4 linked regions of the Ovis aries genome follow. The protein of the gene in region 4 interacts with the protein of the main gene of each other region in a pairwise test. Links are inferred from orthologs where the notes say so. Each region holds a gene or a part of one and is shown on either strand. Other genes may lie near its edges. The genes, in order: PDGFRA, RASSF1, FGFR4 and MAP2K3.

Region 1 (4,074 bases), on a different chromosome or scaffold from region 4:
CTTAGGGAAACCAGACCCCCCTCTACCGTGTGCATCCTTACATTCCCTGGCTTGTCATGGGGACCAGAAGATGATGTGCTGGAGGAAATCAAAAAACACCTTAAGAGACAGCTCTCCCGGACTGCTCCGCGGACAACCACCATCGCTACTGATGGTAGCTTGCAGACAACCCTGGGTGTCTCAAGTGTTGGCTACTCTGGGATCACCCTATTTCTCTCCGGCCTCACAGCCTAGTAGAAAGTTAGACACTGTCCACTTTGTGTTCCTACATTTCGTGTCTTTAGAAAGCCTTCCAGATTCAGTATCCCACTTCTATCTCTATCACTATTCCACAGAGGTAGTCACATTCCATTTTCTCAGATGTTGCTTCTCAGTTACACATGGAATTCAGTTCAGAAAGAAGGAAGCAAATCCTGAAATTAAGTGAACTAATGGCAGAGGTTCTATCTTCTCCTCTTTCCTGAAGGCTTGAAATAGAGGATTTTGTCTCCTGCGGAAGGTTTCTGACAAAGATGCAGGGCTGGATTAGCTGAGCCCTTCAAGAGGGATCTTCTGCTCTTGGATTCTAATCAGGTCTTAAAGCTGCAAGAGACCTCAAAATATCATCCAGTTCCTCATCTTGAAGGACATATGGTATTATTAACCCTACATTATAGATGAGGAAACTGAGGCTGAATGGTGACTTACACAAAACTCTACCACTAGTTAAGAGATGACAACAGTCTACAGCTCCTCAAAGAGCAAGGATCCAAACTATCCATTGTACGTTCTGTCCTAACCAAATGTACTCAGACGCTGCTCTTATTTCCCATCAAAGCCTCACTGGGGCAAATGTGTTTCAAATTAAGCCAATGATGTTGTGTTTCATGTAGGCATATGTGATAACTGCCCTGGAAATGGAATCACCATACATGTCTACTTGCCATATGGGTGATGGATATCAAGGAATATATATGAAACCCACATGGGTCCAATTTTGCTTTCTTTCCTCCATCCCTTTCTGAATCCAGGAACATGTCTTTCATTGGGAGCAGAGATTTTTCAGTTCTTTCTTCTCATTTCATTGTTACATACTTACCAACATACTATCACTGCACTGCAACATTATCATGAAATGTACCTAATTTCCAGTATCTCTTTTTCCTGATTGCTAAATTTTCTATATTGACTCTTGTTTGGGGTCATAAGACACACACAAACCTCAGTCTATCTAAGAATGTACAATACAAAGAAAGGCAAACTTGAGAAGGGTGTTTCTTTACCTTATTTCCTGAATCTTCTCTATGTCAGTGGTGATCTCCGTGAGATTCTCAATCAGAGTCAGGTTGTCCTTTAGCCAGGTTATCTTGGGAGGGGGATAGGCCTGCACATCCACCACAAAATGCTTGACTTCATGCAGGTTGACAGCTTCCAACAGGTTAAAGTTGGGTTTGATTTCAATAAATCCTTTCTCTGTACAGGGAAGAGTTTCCATTAAACAATGATCACCTCATGGTGGATCCCGAGCAGCATGGCCGATGGGCATTTTAGGAAGCAGAGTGTACCGTGAACAGAAATGGTGACGTTCCTCATCTTTTTGACCTCCTTGGTGGCCTGGTGGGCAGCACATTGGTAATCTCCACTGTCTTTCACTGTGGCCTCGGGAACCCTCAGAGTGTACACCAACTTGATGGACGGGAACTTGGTTTCCTCCAGCCTCGTGATGCCTTTGCCTTTCTACAGCAGAAGGGGAGGAAAACTGACTTTAACAAGCTGTTTCCTAAGAGGGAACCCCTGTGTAAGTTATGGACCCAGTGATAAAGATGCACCAATGTGGGTTCCTGGATTGTAACAAGTATACCGCATTGTGGGGATATAGATGGGGGAGGCTGCTCCTGTGTTGAGCCCAAGGGGCAATACAGGAAATCTTTGTACTTTTTACTCAGTTTTGCTATGAATTTAAAGCTGCTCTAAAGGGACTTCCCAGGGGGTCCAGTGGCTAAGACTCCACGCTTCCAATGTAGGGGCCTGGGTTCAATCCTTGGTCAGGGAACTAGATCCCACATGCTGCAACTTAAAATTCCACGTGCCGCAACAAAGATCAAAAATCCCGTGTGCCGCAACTAAGACCCAGTGCAGCCAAGTGAATACTTTTTTAAAACTGGTCTAAAAAATAAAGTCTAGAAAAAAATATTTTTAGACATGTTCCTTTGAAAATCTGGTTTTGAAAGGATACTTAATAACATAGTAAGGTGTTTGTGCTATACTGCCACAAGAAAAAAATATATATCAAAGCACTATTTAAAGTATATCTATTAATTATTACATTTATAAAGTATTTAAAAGACTTATCTCCTTTAAATTATAATGGGGATGGTTCTGGGAAGTGGCTTTTCATCTGTTTTTCTAAATTTTAAAGTTATAATAAGCCTGCATTTTTTAAAAAAATATCAAACAAAAACTATGATTTATAAACCAATACGTTGATTATCTATTGGGGGGCCAAACAGCACATAGTTTGGTTTTGAGGGAAAAAATTATCTCCAATAAATGAAAGGAAGCATTTATGTTTTATGGATTAAAGGCATCAGATATGGGCTTCCTTGGTGGCCCAGCGGTTAGGAATCCACCTGCCAGACTTGCCTGGTGATACAGTTGATGAGAGTCCGCCTGGCAAATCAGGGGACACAGGTTTGGTCCCTGGTCCAGGAAGATTCCACGTGCCATGGAGCAACTAAGCCCACGTGCCACACCACTGAGCCCAGGCTCTACAGCCCAGGCGCTGCAGCTACTGAAGCCCTCGAGCCTTAGAGCCTGTGCTCAGAAACAAAAGCCACCACAATGAAAGGCCCGTACACTGCAACGAAGAGTAGCCCCTACTTGCAGCAACTAGAGAAAGCCTGCGCAAAGTAATGAGGACCCAGCATGGGCATAAATGTAAACATAATTAGAAAAAAAAAAAAAAAAAGAATCCACCTGCAAGGCAGGGGACATAGGTTTGACCCCTGGTCTGGGAAGATCCCACATGCCCCAGGGCAACTAAGACCACAAGCTGCAACTACTGCAGCCCTTGAGCCTGGAGCCCATGCTCTGACACAGGAGAAGCCACTGCAATGAGAAGCTCTCACAATGCAACTCAGAGAAGCCCCCACTCTCCCCAGTTAGAGAAAGCTGGAGCGCAGCAACAAAGACTCAAAGCAGCCATAAGTAAACAAACAAATGAAACTTTAAAAAAAAGTTTCTATAAAAAACAAAAATAAAGGCAATCAAGTATGAACAGAAATATCAGATAGCTTTACATTTGGGGGAAGATGTATACCTATTGGTCTACGAATGTCTCTTCAGTACATGAGGTTATAGGGCAATATGTGAAAATGTTCAAGTTTCAGTCAAGACGCCCCAGGGAGAAAGGAAAGGGGCAGCAAAGCATGGGGGAGAGAAATGGAAAAAAGGAGAGATACTATCAGATGCCAAAAAAAGAGCAAGGAGCATAAATTTGCAAACTAGGAGTGAAGGGGAGAAGACCATATATATATATACACATATATGTTTATATGTGTGTTTGTGTATATATATATATTTATACACAGATGGTTTTTGTGCACTGTTAAATGGTTTCTACGTGGGACCATCACAGCCTTTCACACACAGTTCATACACACTTACCATGATATGTTAGAATGAATGAGAACTGGACTTAACATACACACACCAATACATATAAAATAGGGAAACAAGAGGGACCTACTATATAGCACAGGGAACTATACTCAGTCTTTTGTGATAATCTATAATAAAAAAGAATCTGAAAAAGAATATATATATTTATATAACTGAATTACTTTGCTGTACACCTGAAACTAACACAACTTTGTAAATTAAATATACATCAATAAAATAAAAAAAAAGAATGAATGATACCCTATGTGAAAATTCCCAGGGACCAGAGATGACACAGTGGCTCCCCTTCCCCATCTCCACTCCTCCCTTCTTCTTTCTGTGGATGAGCCAGCTTCCACCAGAGTGCTTGGGATTCAGCAAACATCACTAAATCTTTACTGAATGATTCAAGTTATGCCTGTTCACTGAAGGAAA
Region 2 (4,568 bases), on a different chromosome or scaffold from region 4:
TGCTGTTAAGCCCTGAGGCCCGGGCCCGCTACTGCCTCACAAGCTTTGCCAAAGGACAGCTACTCAAGGTAGGGAACTCCTCCTACCTGAGTGTCCACAGCCCCTGCCCTGCCCTAGGTCACCCTTGATGTTTATTTTTGCCCGCCCACCTCAGCCGCAGCCCTGTCTCCACACCTTGGGCCTCAGGTGATAACAGCAGCTAGTGGGACCTGGGTCCCACTGGCACCCTCAGCCCAGCCCAGCCCAGCCCAGCCCAGGCCCTGTCTGTTCCTCCACCCTCTGGTCAGCACCACCTCACACTGCCTCCCCTGGACACCCTTGCAGCTTCGGGCCTTCCTCACAGACACACTGCTCGACCAGCTGCCCAACCTGTCAGACCTGCAGGGTTTCCTGGCTCACCTGGCCCTGACCGAAGCCCAGCCCCCTAAGAAGGACCTGGTGTTGGAACAGGTAGGCTCTTGGAAGTTAGTTGGTCAGGACCACTGCTCACTTGACCAGCTCTTCCTCCCTGCCACTCTCTGCTTCTCTTCCCCAGATCCCAGAAATCTGGGAGCGGCTAGAGCGAGAGAACAAAGGCAAGTGGCAGGCTATCGCCAAGCATCAGCTGCGGCATGTATTTAGCCCCTCGGAACAGGACCTGAGGCTGCAGGCGCGAAGGTGAGGCCTGCTAAGCCAGCAGAAGAGGAGAAGGGAGGCAGCGGCGTGGATGTGGGTGGGGTTGCCCCTGTCCCCCCACCCACAGGTCCAGCAAGTCCTTCCGGACCCTTTTTCCAGGTGGGCTGAGACCTACAGGCTGGATGTGCTCGAGGCAGTGGCTCCAGAGCGGCCCCGCTGTGCCTACTGCAGTGCAGAGGCCTCCAAGCGTTGCTCCCGGTGCCAGAATGAGTGGTATTGCTGCAGGTGAGGGCATCCTAGGACCTTGGACCCCCATTCCCATACCCCTCGGATCACTGCATCTTCACCGGCCCATTTGCCTGCAGGGAGTGCCAAGTCAAGCACTGGGAGAAGCATGGAAAGGCTTGTGTCCTGGCAGCCCAGGGGGACAGAGCCAAGTGAAGGCTGCAGCGGCTGAGGGCCAACCACCCGTGCCTACAACCCACTCAAGTGTCCCCCCAAAACCTCTGGATCTCAATCTGGCCTCTGCAAGTGCCCCAGCCTCCCGGGTGGTGAGGATAGCAGGCGGGAAGAGCTGTTGACCCATCTCCCCCCATCTAAGCGCTCCCCACTTCCTGCTCTATCAGGCGCGAAGGCTTAGGGTGCAGCCTCCCCAAGCTGGGGCAGGAGGCCTGGGCGGGGGGCGGGGGGGAGGGGACAAGGGCCGGATGTGGGGACCCTCTTCCTCTAGTACTGTAAAGTAAAGCTAGCTTCCACAAACACGCCTGTTTCCTCGTGGCCCCTTGAGGTCGTCGTGGTTGTTAAGAGGAGGGGAGTGGCTCGCGGGATGAAGGGAGGATAGGAAACGGAGGGCGGGGACTCTGAGAGAGCAGCCCCCAGCCGCACCCGCCGTCCCACTCCGCCTGCGGGCCGACACAGCGCGGGCGCCCAGGTTTCCATTGCGCGGCTCTCCTCTGCTCTCCCGCCGCTCTGCCTGAATCCTGGAGGCGGCGCCGAATCGGGGCCCGCCCCGCGGCCCCGCCCGCCCCGCGCTCGCTAGCGCCCAGAACCGGCCGGAGACCCGGCCCGACCGGGCCATGTCCGCTGAGCCTGAGCTCATTGAATTGCGGGAACTGGCACCCGAACGGTGCGCCGCCCCGGGGCGCACTCGGCTCGAGCGTGCCAATGCATTGCGCATCTCGCCGGGCACAGCTCGCAACGCCGCAAGGCAGCAGGTCCCGGGCCGGGGCCACCGCTTCCAGCCGGCGGGGCCCGCCACGCACACGTGGTGTGACCTGTGTGGCGACTTCATCTGGGGCGTCGTGCGCAAGGGTCTGCAGTGCGCGCGTGAGTAGCGGACCCAAGAGCTGGCGGGAGCGAAACGGGCAGCCAAGGGACAGCCCCGTCGCTGAGGGCCAAGTTGCGATGGAGGGGGTCAGGGGGGACAGTTCCCACAGACCAGGTCTGTAACCTTTGCCCCATAGCACAAGAGAGTGCGGGCTGATAGTTTATAACCTTGCCAAGCTCCACCTGCCTCTGAGACAGTTAGGCAAACGTGCTTCTCTGTAAACAAGGTACTACTTTCAAGTTTAACCAGTGCCTTGGCCCTTCTTGAGAAAGGCTTGTTCCTGTCAGTCTCTGGACTCACATTCTTACACTTACCCCTTTGGAAAGATTCACTTGCCAAGTCCCCCAGGAGAATCCCTGTGGTGAAGGGAACTTACCCACCTATGGGAGAAGGCCTGGAAATAGAAACTTGGGCACAGGGCTACAAGCAGGAGTTTTGAGTCTGTCTTTAGCAAATACCTATTGGAAGTTCAGTCAGCCAGCTGCTAAAACATGAAACGCAACCACACGCCAGTTGGTGCTTCTGCCCTCCCAGAAATCACCAGCAAGCTGAGGTTGCTGTCTCACTGGCCATACACCATCTAGAAACACTTGGGATGCTTTTATAGCCCTCCAAACCTCTACCCTTGGATCTTACTGCAGACCTGTTGAATCAGTCAGGTCACTGAGAGTGTACCAGCGATTTTTAAAAACAGGTCATTCTAATGTGTAGCCTGGGTGGAGAATCACTGCTCTGGCCCATTTAGGAACTTAGGGAAGATGTCCCAAGCCTGTGTGTGATGGAGACCCTCTCATCTAGTACAGGAGTTTGTCTTTATTCAGCTAGGACGAGTATGGGACTTGTGGCAGCATACAAAAAGCATGAACAAGGGCTGGGAAGATAGCAGTGTTCCCAAGGAGAAATAAAGTGGCCATGGGAATGAAAAACAGGACAATTTGGGTGTGTGTCAGAAGCAGAAACAAGAGAGGCATCAAGGATGAGTTGGGGTGGTTTGGTCTGGTTTTTGTTTTTTGCTGAGTTGAACTCTGGCAAGGGCAAGGGTGAGGAGAAGTGAAGAATTAAAAGGAGTAGGAAAGTGAGTTAAATGTTGGCCATGTCTGGTTGAATTGTTTATTGGACAGCCAAATGAAGATACTGACACAGAATTTGATCTCAAGGAGGTCAGATGGAAGCCTTGGATCTAAGGTAGGTCAGTGTACACAGAGAAGAAAAGCGATCAGGACTGGGCCTCGGACTCTCCACCATTAGATCTGGAAGCTGAAACAGAACTAAAGCCCCCTGAACAGGGATTACAGTGAGGTGGGAGGAAAACCGCGGTAGTGAGGGCCCCCGGGGAATCCGGAGAGCAAGCATCAGACGATGCTGAAGAGGTGAAGGGACCACCGCATTCCGCGGTTCGGTCTCTGAGTTCCCTGGAGGGAGGAGAGCAAGACTGGAATGGGTAGAGGATGAAGGCGAGGAATTAAGTAAGAGACCAGTGTTGGTAAGTTTTGTGTGTAAGGGGAATAGAGAAAAATGACACGAAGAGGCACTGAGTTAAAAGTTTTTTTGTTTCCCCCTCCAGTAAATGGGAGGAGGGAGGGACGCTGATAATGAGGAAGGGGAAGTTCTGCCCTAGGCGCTAGAAATCCAACTGTTGAGCAGGCCTGGATCCCTAACAGCATGAAGTCTTCCCTGCCAGTTTCCAGGCCCGGGGCGGGGGGGGGGGGGGGGGGGGGGGGGGGGGGGGGGGGACAGAACGGGGAGGCGCGGCGGCAGGGGAGACTCTAAAATCTGAGTGGCAGTGGGTGTTAACGGGGACTAAGATAAGGCCAGTCATGGAGAACACGACGAGCAACGGCCTTCATCCCGGGGCTTCGCTTCTGTCCCCGGGACGCTCCTCCGAGCTGGTTGCTGGGGTTCCTCCACCTTATGGCCAGGCCTCTCTGCAGATTGCAAGTTCACCTGCCACTACCGCTGCCGCGCGCTCGTCTCCCTAGACTGCTGCGGGCCCCGGGACCTGGGCTGGGAACCGGCGCTGGAGCGGGACACGAATGTGGTGAGCGCGGGACCGGGGAGCTTACGGGCAACGCAGGGATGCGTGGACGAGCGGGGCCACATTGGAGGCGTTCCCTAGGGCCGCCCGGCGCTACGCGCAATAAACGTTTTGATAGCCGACTTCCCGGAGGCAGAGAGTGGCTAATTCTGCGCGCGGGCTCCAAGGGGTGCCGGGGGGTGCTGACTCGGCCCTAACCGCCCGGAGCCGCCCAGACTGCGCGCAAGTGCAACTTCCGCACCTTCCCGCAGCTGCATCCGGCCTCGAGGCCACGCTGGTGCACACGCGCACAAGCCCCATAGTGTCCCTTGGGAGGCGGGGCCTGCGAGACTGCGCTGAACTGAGCTGCCCCAGGGCTGAGATCATTCTTGGAGGCGAGGCGTGTGTGACCCCGCCCTTCGACATCCCTCCTCCAATGAGATGACAGCTATGTCTTGGCTGTCTACGTTTCAGTGTTAACGGTTGCGGCTCGGACACTGGTTCCTGCGCACGCACACTCATATACGGGCGCGCACGCGCACACGCGTTTGGGGCGGTGGTGGGAGTCTACCGGTGCACCGGGGCTGGTGGGCTGGCTGGCGCGGCGATGGG
Region 3 (4,074 bases), on a different chromosome or scaffold from region 4:
GGACATCATCCTGTACTCGTCAGGCTCTCTGGCTTTGATCGTGTTCCTGCTGCTGGTCGGGCTATATCGCAGGCAGACGCTCCTCACCCGACACCACCGACAGCCCGCCACCGTGCAGAAGTTATCTCGCTTCCCTCTGGCCCGACAGGTATCCAGCGTGCTGTCCCCCGCCTCCGTGTTCCCATAGCAAAGGCTCAGGGCCTGCGTTCCCACCCCAGCTCAGCTTCAGCAGACCGACCAAGTCTCTCACTTTGCAGTTCTCGCTGGAGTCAGGCTCCTCAGCCAAGTCAAGCTTGTCCCTGGTGCGGGGTGTCCGTCTCTCCTCCAGCGGCCCCCCCTTGCTCGCTGGCCTCGTGAGTCTCGACCTGCCTCTTGACCCACTGTGGGAGTTCCCCCGCGACAGGTATGCCGTGCCGAGTGAGCGTGGGGATCAGACCCTGTGCAGGAGTGATGCCCAGTGGCTGAGGCCTTGTCTCTCTCATCTTCAGGCTGGTGCTGGGAAAGCCCCTGGGCGAGGGCTGCTTTGGGCAGGTGGTATGTGCAGAGGCCTTCGGCATGGACCCCACCCGGCCGGACCAAGCCAGCACCGTGGCCGTCAAGATGCTTAAGGGTGAGTGTGGCGGCTTGTGGGAGATCCTATGACCTGGAAAGTAACAGACAGGGCTCAGGGTGCTAGTGGCTGAGGACCAGGAAAGGCTGTCATTCCCCCGACTCCTTGGGCCCAAATGTGCCACCGATCCTGGCAAGTCATTTCTGAGCTTCGATTTCCTCACAGGTCACATGGGATAAATAACAGTCCCCGCCTCCCAGCCTGAGGTTGGTGGAAAATGACACCTAAAATCTTTACTACTGGGGTGATGGTGACCACAAGAGTTTAGGGTGATAGGTCTGCTACCCTGTGTCAGCTTTGACCTCAAATAACCTTATTAGCCTTGAAGGCCTCCACCTCAACCCCATGATTTCCCCCCGAGATTGCACCCTCGGTCTCCCCCAGGTCCTTCCCAGATCTCCCCCTGTGTCTACCACTCTTTCAGAGAACAGCCCAAGCAGCAGCCCCAGGAGGCTCAGGACACCCGGGTGGGACCCACCATCGAGGCCTCTCGCTGCTATTCCCCAGCCCCTTCTACAAAAGCAGCCCAAACCGCTGTTCCACTCCCGCCAGCCCCTCCTTTCTGCACAGCTGGGGCCACCTGGCGCTTTCTGGGAGGCAAGGATTGAGAAATGTGCATTGTGAGGTCTGCCGGGGAGAGTAAGTCATTGGCCCAGGGCCACAGGTCAGCCCCAGGGGCTCAGCCCCGGGTCCTTAGCCTTCTCAAGAGAAACTAGAGCAGCTTCTTCCTGGCCTCCCCTGGCTGCGCTCTACCAGCAGCTCCCTGAACTCCCAGGCCAGATGGACGCCAGGCCCTGGTCAGACAGACCTCAGGGCGCCAGCCCACTTCCCGCCCCCAAGAGCTCCCACCCCATTTGGGGACTAATGCCAAGTCCTCCAGACGGAGCTTCCTTCCTATTCAGAGCGCTTTCCCCGTCCTCCTTTTTCCTGGTTGCACTCACTGGCAGGCCTAGCACTTTTAGATCCTGATCTTGTCGCATCCTTGCAACTGTTATGAGAGTAGGGCATAATCCATCATCCCATTTCATACAAGATGATCCTGAGGTTCAGAGAAGTTAAGAGACTCTTTCAAGGCCACACAGCCTAGCAGGGATTCAGGCCCAGACCTTCCTGGCACGGAATTTAGGGCTCCACGTCCTGTCCCCAACCCAAAGCCTCCCTTGTGTAATCACCCTGGCTGTCATCCTCACAGACAACGCCTCCGACAAGGACTTGGCAGACCTGGTCTCTGAGATGGAGGTGATGAAGCTGATTGGCCGACACAAGAACATTATCAACCTGCTGGGTGTCTGCACCCAGGAAGGTGGGAGCGGGGCGGGGTGAGGGGCGGGGATGGTGGGGGCATGGAGCCACATCCGTGTCAGCTTCCCTGTCACCCCTCTCCTCTGCAGGGCCCTTGTACGTGATTGTGGAGTGTGCTGCCAAGGGCAACCTGCGGGAGTTCCTGCGGGCCCGCCGACCCCCAGGCCCTGACCTCAGCCCTGACGGGCCTCGGAGCAGCGAAGGGCCGCTCTCCTTCCCTGCCCTGGTCTCCTGCGCCTACCAGGTGGCCCGGGGCATGCAGTACCTTGAGTCCCGGAAGGTAATGACCCATCCCCGCACTTTCAGGCCTTGTGTTAAATGCCACCAACTTCTCCCTCTCCTCTTTTCCCTTACTGTAAGTGTCCTTGAGTCCTTCTGTACTGCCTCATCTACACGCAGTTAACACTGCATCTTCCCATTCCTTCCTCTCCCACAGGCAGGAAGAGGTGGTGCAAGAGACAAGGTGTGGGCCCTGAAGTTAGTTGGCTTACATTTCCCCTCTCTCAACTTCCCCATCTGTAAAATGGGTGGATGATTCCCACTCGTCGGGTTGCTGTGAGGTCACCTGTGCCCAGTTCCCAGCCATGTGTCCTCAATCTAAGACCTCTGCCCCACCCCCAGTGCATCCACCGGGACCTGGCTGCCCGCAATGTGCTGGTGACCGAGGACAACGTGATGAAGATTGCAGACTTCGGGCTGGCCCGTGGCATCCACCACATTGATTACTACAAGAAAACTAGCAACGTAAGGGAGGCGGGGCGCAGCTGATTGGGGCCAGGCACTGGGACCCGTGGCCCTTGGCAGCAGTGTGCCCTCTTCCCTCCAGGGCCGCCTGCCTGTCAAGTGGATGGCACCAGAGGCCTTGTTTGACAGAGTCTACACGCACCAGAGTGATGTGTGAGTCCTGGAAGCTGGGGCCCGGGATGTAACTGCAGGCAACCTTTGTCCTTCTAAAGCCCTTGCCCTGGGTCTGAGTGGGACCAGACTCTAAAAGAAGTCCTTATTCCCACCCCCATGGTGGATCATAGTTGTGGGGTCCCCTATCCTAGCCGCAAGGTTAGGGAGTGAAGCTGTACCCTGCTGAGCCTGGGTTCTGCCTCCATCCAGGTGGTCGTTTGGAATCCTGCTGTGGGAGATCTTCACCCTCGGGGGCTCCCCATACCCTGGCATCCCCGTGGAGGAGCTGTTCTCGCTGCTACGAGAGGGGCATCGGATGGACCGGCCCCCACACTGCCCCCCGGAGCTGTGAGTCCTCACCCCACTCTCCCTCACTTTTCAGTCCTCATTCTCTGTCCTAACCCTGGCCTCATGGTCCAGTCATACAGAGTGGTCAGCTCTCACTCATGGTCACCCCCTCCTCAGCCCGGCTGGGAAGGCTTGGCAGGGTACTCTTTTGCTGAATGGCCTCGCCTCGCATCAAACCCTCCTGCCCCTTCGCCACACCCCCTCACCCAGGCCCTAGGCTCCTTCTGACCCTCCCCGCTCCTCCCCCAGGTACGGGCTGATGCGTGAGTGCTGGCACGCAGCACCCTCTCAGAGGCCCACTTTCAAGCAACTGGTGGAGGCGCTGGACAAGGTCCTGCTGGCTGTCTCTGAGGAGGTACTGCGCCCCTATGGTCCCAGGACCGTCCCACACCCCCATGCCCACTGCCCTCTGGGCCTCATCCCACCTGACCACCAGGGCTGACCAACCCTGTTCCCCACAGTACCTCGACCTCCGCCTAACCTTTGGACCCTACTCCCCTGCCGGCGGGGACGCCAGCAGCACCTGCTCCTCTAGCGACTCTGTCTTCAGCCACGACCCCCTACCACTGAGGCCCAGCTCCTTCTCCTTCCCTGGGGGGCAGACGTGAGCAGGGGCACAGGCTGTACGGGCAGGGTCAGCTGCAAGCCTTGGGCCTCCTGGCTCAACTGCAACCAGGTGGCGCTCGGCCTTGGCAGCCCCAGGCCCTGACCTAAGGGTACTATCCCAGATCTCTGGTTCTGTTTTGGGGAGGTCTGTCCTTGGTCCTGGGGTCCCTAGTCTTGAGACTTCCTTCTCTGGCCTCTGGATCTCAAGCCAGAGTTCAACCCCAATCTCAAGGCCCTGTTCTTTGGAGTCAAGGCCCCAGTGTTCTAATGGCTTGTTAAGGTTCTGCTTGGACTTCTGGGCCTTGGCACTC
Region 4 (4,074 bases):
TCCCGACACCTCCAAGTAAAATGGCCCACCTGCCCTGCTGGCCCTCTGCCCCACTCCAAGGGCCTGGCATGAAGGGTGAAAGAGGGAGCCGGAGGACACAGTGAATGAGAGAATGAGCGACAAAGTCCCTCGAAGAATCATGAATGCAGAGGCAAGCCGGAGGAGCTGCCCACCGCTGTGCATAGAGGCAGCCCTCTCCCAGAGAGCCCCACCCGCACTCACCATCAGCTCCAGGTAGCTCATGCGTTCCGCGGGGTTCTTTCTCAGGCTAGGAGAGAACAGGGTAGGCTGGGGCCAGGATGGCAGGGAAGCGAATCCAGCCCATCCAGGCCAGTCAAGTCAGGCTGGGCTTGGCCCTGCCCAAGCAGCAAGGGGACACACATGCTCCCGAGGCTCAGGAAAGAAAGGGCTGAACTGTCCTGGGGGCTTCCAAGGGCAGAGTGGGATCCGTGGTGCCCACCAGAGAGACTGGACCAATAGTGACCTAGGAGATTTCCAACGATCCCAACACTAACATGCTACCACTAACCATCATATGCTTGGTGTCCTTAATCGAGAGAGGAAGCTCCTTACCATGGGTCCTGGGAGAGAATGATCCTGCCTGCCAGGCGCACCTGTTTTAAGACTTTCTTCTTTTCCAGTGAACGAAAGAAAGGCTGTGAATTCTCCCTTGAGCGTCTCTCCGGCCACAGCACATAGCTGTTGGTATGTTAGATTCTCAAGTCTTCACTTCTCACTACTTTATGATTGTATGTTTTAGATCTCTCTTATAACCCAAGAGTATACTAGAAGAATTTACTTTTAATTTCCTTGTAGCTTTTTTTCTCCATAGTTATGTATTTCCTGTTCCATCTAATTCCAGTCAGAGAATGTGGCCTATAAGACTCTGCCTCCTGCCTTTTCCCTTATTTCCTCTGTAATCTCAAACATAATTAATCTTTACAAGGATCTTGTGGGCATTCTTTAATGTGATACAAAATTCTACACATCAACAAAAGCAAATTTACTGTGTATTTAAATCCTCCATATACTCTTCATTTTCTTTTTTGATCTATGTGATCTGTCCGTTTCTAGAGGAACCGTATTAAAAACTCCTCCCAGGACCATAGCTTGTCAAATTATCCTTATACTCTAACTATTTCTGCCTTCTATTTTGATGCTGTTATTGGGGTTTGTCTGCTCAAAAAGGAGACCGGGCCCAGGGAGGACGGGATCTGGCCGGGGCAGGGAGGGGCACTGACTGGGCTCAGGGAGGCCCTCAGGTCTGAGCAGGGCTGAGACTCACCACTGCGCAGTGAAGTCCACAAAGTCAGGGGAGAAACGGTCAGCTGGGAGCTGGGGGGACGGCTCTTCTACCACCTGCTTCAGCTGCTGGAAGGGGGTCCCCCAGGACTCGTAAGGAAATCGCAGAATGGCCATCTCGATCTGCAGTGGAGATAGCACCCCTGGGTCAGAGACACCCACGCTCTGCACACGGAAGCAAAGCCTTCAAAGATCCTGCCTGTCCTGGTCCAGCATCCAGAGCTGGGCTGTGAGGCAGGTCAAGGGGCTGACAGGTGACATCAGTCCAAAGATGAAAGCCAAGGGGACAGAGGAGTTGGTTCTGTCCCAGCCAGCAAAGACTGTAGCTCATGATACACATTCAACCCTGGGTTTTGACTGGCTTGGCTATCGGGTTTTCAAACAATCTGAATTCAGAAGGTTTTGCATTAAAACCCAGGTTCCAGTTAACCTGGAAAAATCAGAGGGCTGGCAGCCTGGGGTGCTCCCGATAAGGCCACTGTCACCAAAGAGCCTGAGAAGAGTGATCAGCTTCGAAGTTCCCCACAGACCACTCCCTCCTCCCTAATGTCTCAGCAACACCTTAGCTTCTGCTGCCGTTTATGTGGGCTGTTGTTATTAGCGAAAAGGCAAGCAGGAAATGAAATGATTTTCATGAGCTTCAGGAGGAATGTTAGACTAAGAGGTTCATCTCCTGGACTGTGCAGCAATCCACCAGGCCCCATTAGGAAATGAAGTCCGCAGCCCTTCCTCCTCCACAAAGCCCCCACCACCCAGCCACCAACACCTGTAAGCCCATGTCCAACGCTTCCGCCTCCAGGAAGCCTTTCCACTCGGATGCTGTCACTGTTTCTCTCCGACTCCCTGGACACAGGGCTGCCACGGCCTCACCGCTTCCACCAGACCCAGATCCCCCTGTGCCCCGCGCCTCGCCTGCAGGAGCCATCTGTAGCAAAGAATGGCTGTCTCACCACAACCTCTGCTTCCAGTTTTGACTACTGACATGAAAATTCAAGTCCACTTCCCTGAGAAGCGATCACCACTGACATGAAAATTCAAGTCCACTACCCTGACAAGCGATCACCGTAATAAACAGGAGAGACCTCGTCTCAAGCAGACACACCAAAACAGGTCACTAGTTGTGCTCAGAAAGGACCTTCTCATCAGGCCCCAGGCTCCTTTCCAGCCAAGACACAAACAGGCCCACAGATGGAGGTGACACAGTGTGGCGGGAACGGCTATGACCCTGGATTTTCATAGGGCAAAGACAGCCTCCTTTTTTTCCTATAGTTTCCACTGACTCCGGCACACAGGAGTGAGGACCCTGCCTGGGCTGCAGAGAAGGATGCAGTGGCCACCAGAGCTCAAGAACAAAAACAGAGAAGTGTCCAAACCTTGGACCTAGTCATTCCTCTCCTGGTAATTTTTTCTAAAAGAGCTCAAAAAATGAAAACATAAGCAGCCTCTGGGCACAGAGACACATACTACAGCATTATCTGTGGGAGTAAACGTGGAGAAGCAGCAAGAACGAGCAGGGCAAGGCTGAGCCTCGCCACTGTCGTGAAGCCCTCGTGCACAAGGAGCCAGTTGGTCTTGGGCTGGCTGTGCATTCTCAGTGAGCACGAGCCCTGAGGAAGTCCAACAGGCAAGTGGTCACAGACGAGAGCGGCATAACGCTGCCCTAACCCAGGGAGGGCGTGAGGCACCTGCGGACACTCTGCTAAGGACCCCATAATCTTTGATGGCACTGTCTCTTCTCACATCGTGAAGCCAACCAACCCTTCTGTCCAGGCTAGACTATCTGGCCCCCAGAAGCTCACAGACCTGGCACAGCCCCCACCTGTGCTCCACCCGACCAGCAAGGGTGCCCCAGGACGTACCATGGTGATGCCGAGGCTCCAGACATCAGACTTGACATTGTAGCCTTTCTGGTTCAGCTCTGGGTTGATTCTCTCGGGCTGGAAGAGGAGCCAGAGCAGGGTCACCCAGGCCCCCTCAGCTGGGTCTGGTTGCCCCCCACAAAACGTAGGGGCCAGTGCTCACCCATCCTACCTCCCCCAGAGCAAGTGTGGAAGCTGAGGCTGGTGAGGGCCGGGGTCTCGAGGTGGAAGCCTAAGTCTTGCCACACAGCTGCCACACCTGGGGGTCTCACCTTGGGGTATCAGCAACTCCCACAGGCCCCACCAGCCACCCCGCTGAGGTGAAACCTATCATCCAAATGGACACGGTGGGGCCAGTCAGAAAGGGGTGGAGAGGGCTGAGCAGGAGACTCCCTCTAGAAGGAAATTCGGGGTCTGGGGAGGCCTCATTCCTGATGGAGCAGGACACAGCTAAGGTGCCTGAGCCTGGCTGTTTCCTCTGGGCATGACCTGGGCACCCCACTTACGGCCATGTAGGGTTTGCAGCCAGCATCCATTGTCTTAGCCACAGAATCCACCAAGTAACCACTGATCCCAAAGTCACACATCTTCACGTGGCCCTCCTTGTTGATAAGGACATTGGATGGCTTCACATCTGCCAGAAGTAGGACACGCCTTTCAGCTACTGGTTGTTGGCCCCCACTGCCCAGGTCAGAGCTGGTAGCCACACAGTCAGGAGCCCCAGCCTCCAGCCACAGGTGGGGAGAGAAGTTAGCTCCAGGGCTTCCCCCAGGACCGTGTCTTTGCAGCTTCACAGTTGGGACTCAGCCTCCACTTACCAGTGCAACCTCTGGCTCTGGGGTCCACCCAAATGCAGGGAACCCATCACTAACAGTATGAGCACTGTAAACCACCCAATATCCACCTTGAGGGG

The links.
Region 1: the proteins of MAP2K3 (region 4) and PDGFRA come close enough for resonance energy transfer, tested with the Homo sapiens proteins (2 studies listed by BioGRID). The link is inferred for Ovis aries from reciprocal best matches to the Homo sapiens genes MAP2K3 and PDGFRA.
Region 2: the proteins of MAP2K3 (region 4) and RASSF1 come close enough for resonance energy transfer, tested with the Homo sapiens proteins (2 studies listed by BioGRID). The link is inferred for Ovis aries from reciprocal best matches to the Homo sapiens genes MAP2K3 and RASSF1.
Region 3: the proteins of MAP2K3 (region 4) and FGFR4 come close enough for resonance energy transfer, tested with the Homo sapiens proteins (2 studies listed by BioGRID). The link is inferred for Ovis aries from reciprocal best matches to the Homo sapiens genes MAP2K3 and FGFR4.

What each region holds. Positions count from the first base shown.
Region 1 is NC_056059.1:70,456,366-70,460,439, reverse strand, and holds part of PDGFRA (platelet-derived growth factor receptor alpha), read right to left. Parts: intron 1,717-4,074; coding exon 1,545-1,716; intron 1,453-1,544; coding exon 1,263-1,452; intron 1-1,262. UniProt on the Homo sapiens protein: Tyrosine-protein kinase that acts as a cell-surface receptor for PDGFA, PDGFB and PDGFC and plays an essential role in the regulation of embryonic development, cell proliferation, survival and chemotaxis.
Region 2 is NC_056072.1:50,057,523-50,062,090, forward strand, and holds the start of RASSF1 (ras association domain-containing protein 1), read left to right. Parts: upstream 1-1,659; 5' UTR 1,660-1,691; coding exon 1,692-1,941; intron 1,942-3,873; coding exon 3,874-3,980; intron 3,981-4,506; exon of another isoform or gene 4,507-4,563; coding exon of another isoform or gene 4,564-4,568. Other genes in the region: ZMYND10 (zinc finger MYND domain-containing protein 10), read left to right, coding at 1-68, 325-450, 536-657, 775-900, 981-1,056. UniProt on the Homo sapiens protein: Potential tumor suppressor. Required for death receptor-dependent apoptosis. Mediates activation of STK3/MST2 and STK4/MST1 during Fas-induced apoptosis by preventing their dephosphorylation.
Region 3 is NC_056058.1:36,294,001-36,298,074, forward strand, and holds part of FGFR4 (fibroblast growth factor receptor 4), read left to right. Parts: coding exon 1-148; intron 149-257; coding exon 258-403; intron 404-488; coding exon 489-610; intron 611-1,802; coding exon 1,803-1,913; intron 1,914-2,001; coding exon 2,002-2,192; intron 2,193-2,533; coding exon 2,534-2,656; intron 2,657-2,738; coding exon 2,739-2,809; intron 2,810-3,019; coding exon 3,020-3,157; intron 3,158-3,406; coding exon 3,407-3,512; intron 3,513-3,618; coding exon 3,619-3,765; 3' UTR 3,766-4,074. UniProt on the Homo sapiens protein: Tyrosine-protein kinase that acts as a cell-surface receptor for fibroblast growth factors and plays a role in the regulation of cell proliferation, differentiation and migration, and in regulation of lipid metabolism, bile acid biosynthesis, glucose uptake, vitamin D metabolism and phosphate homeostasis.
Region 4 is NC_056064.1:35,010,222-35,014,295, reverse strand, and holds part of MAP2K3 (dual specificity mitogen-activated protein kinase kinase 3), read right to left. Parts: intron 3,796-4,074; coding exon 3,668-3,795; intron 3,240-3,667; coding exon 3,162-3,239; intron 1,426-3,161; coding exon 1,286-1,425; intron 269-1,285; coding exon 223-268; intron 1-222. UniProt on the Homo sapiens protein: Dual specificity kinase. Is activated by cytokines and environmental stress in vivo. Catalyzes the concomitant phosphorylation of a threonine and a tyrosine residue in the MAP kinase p38.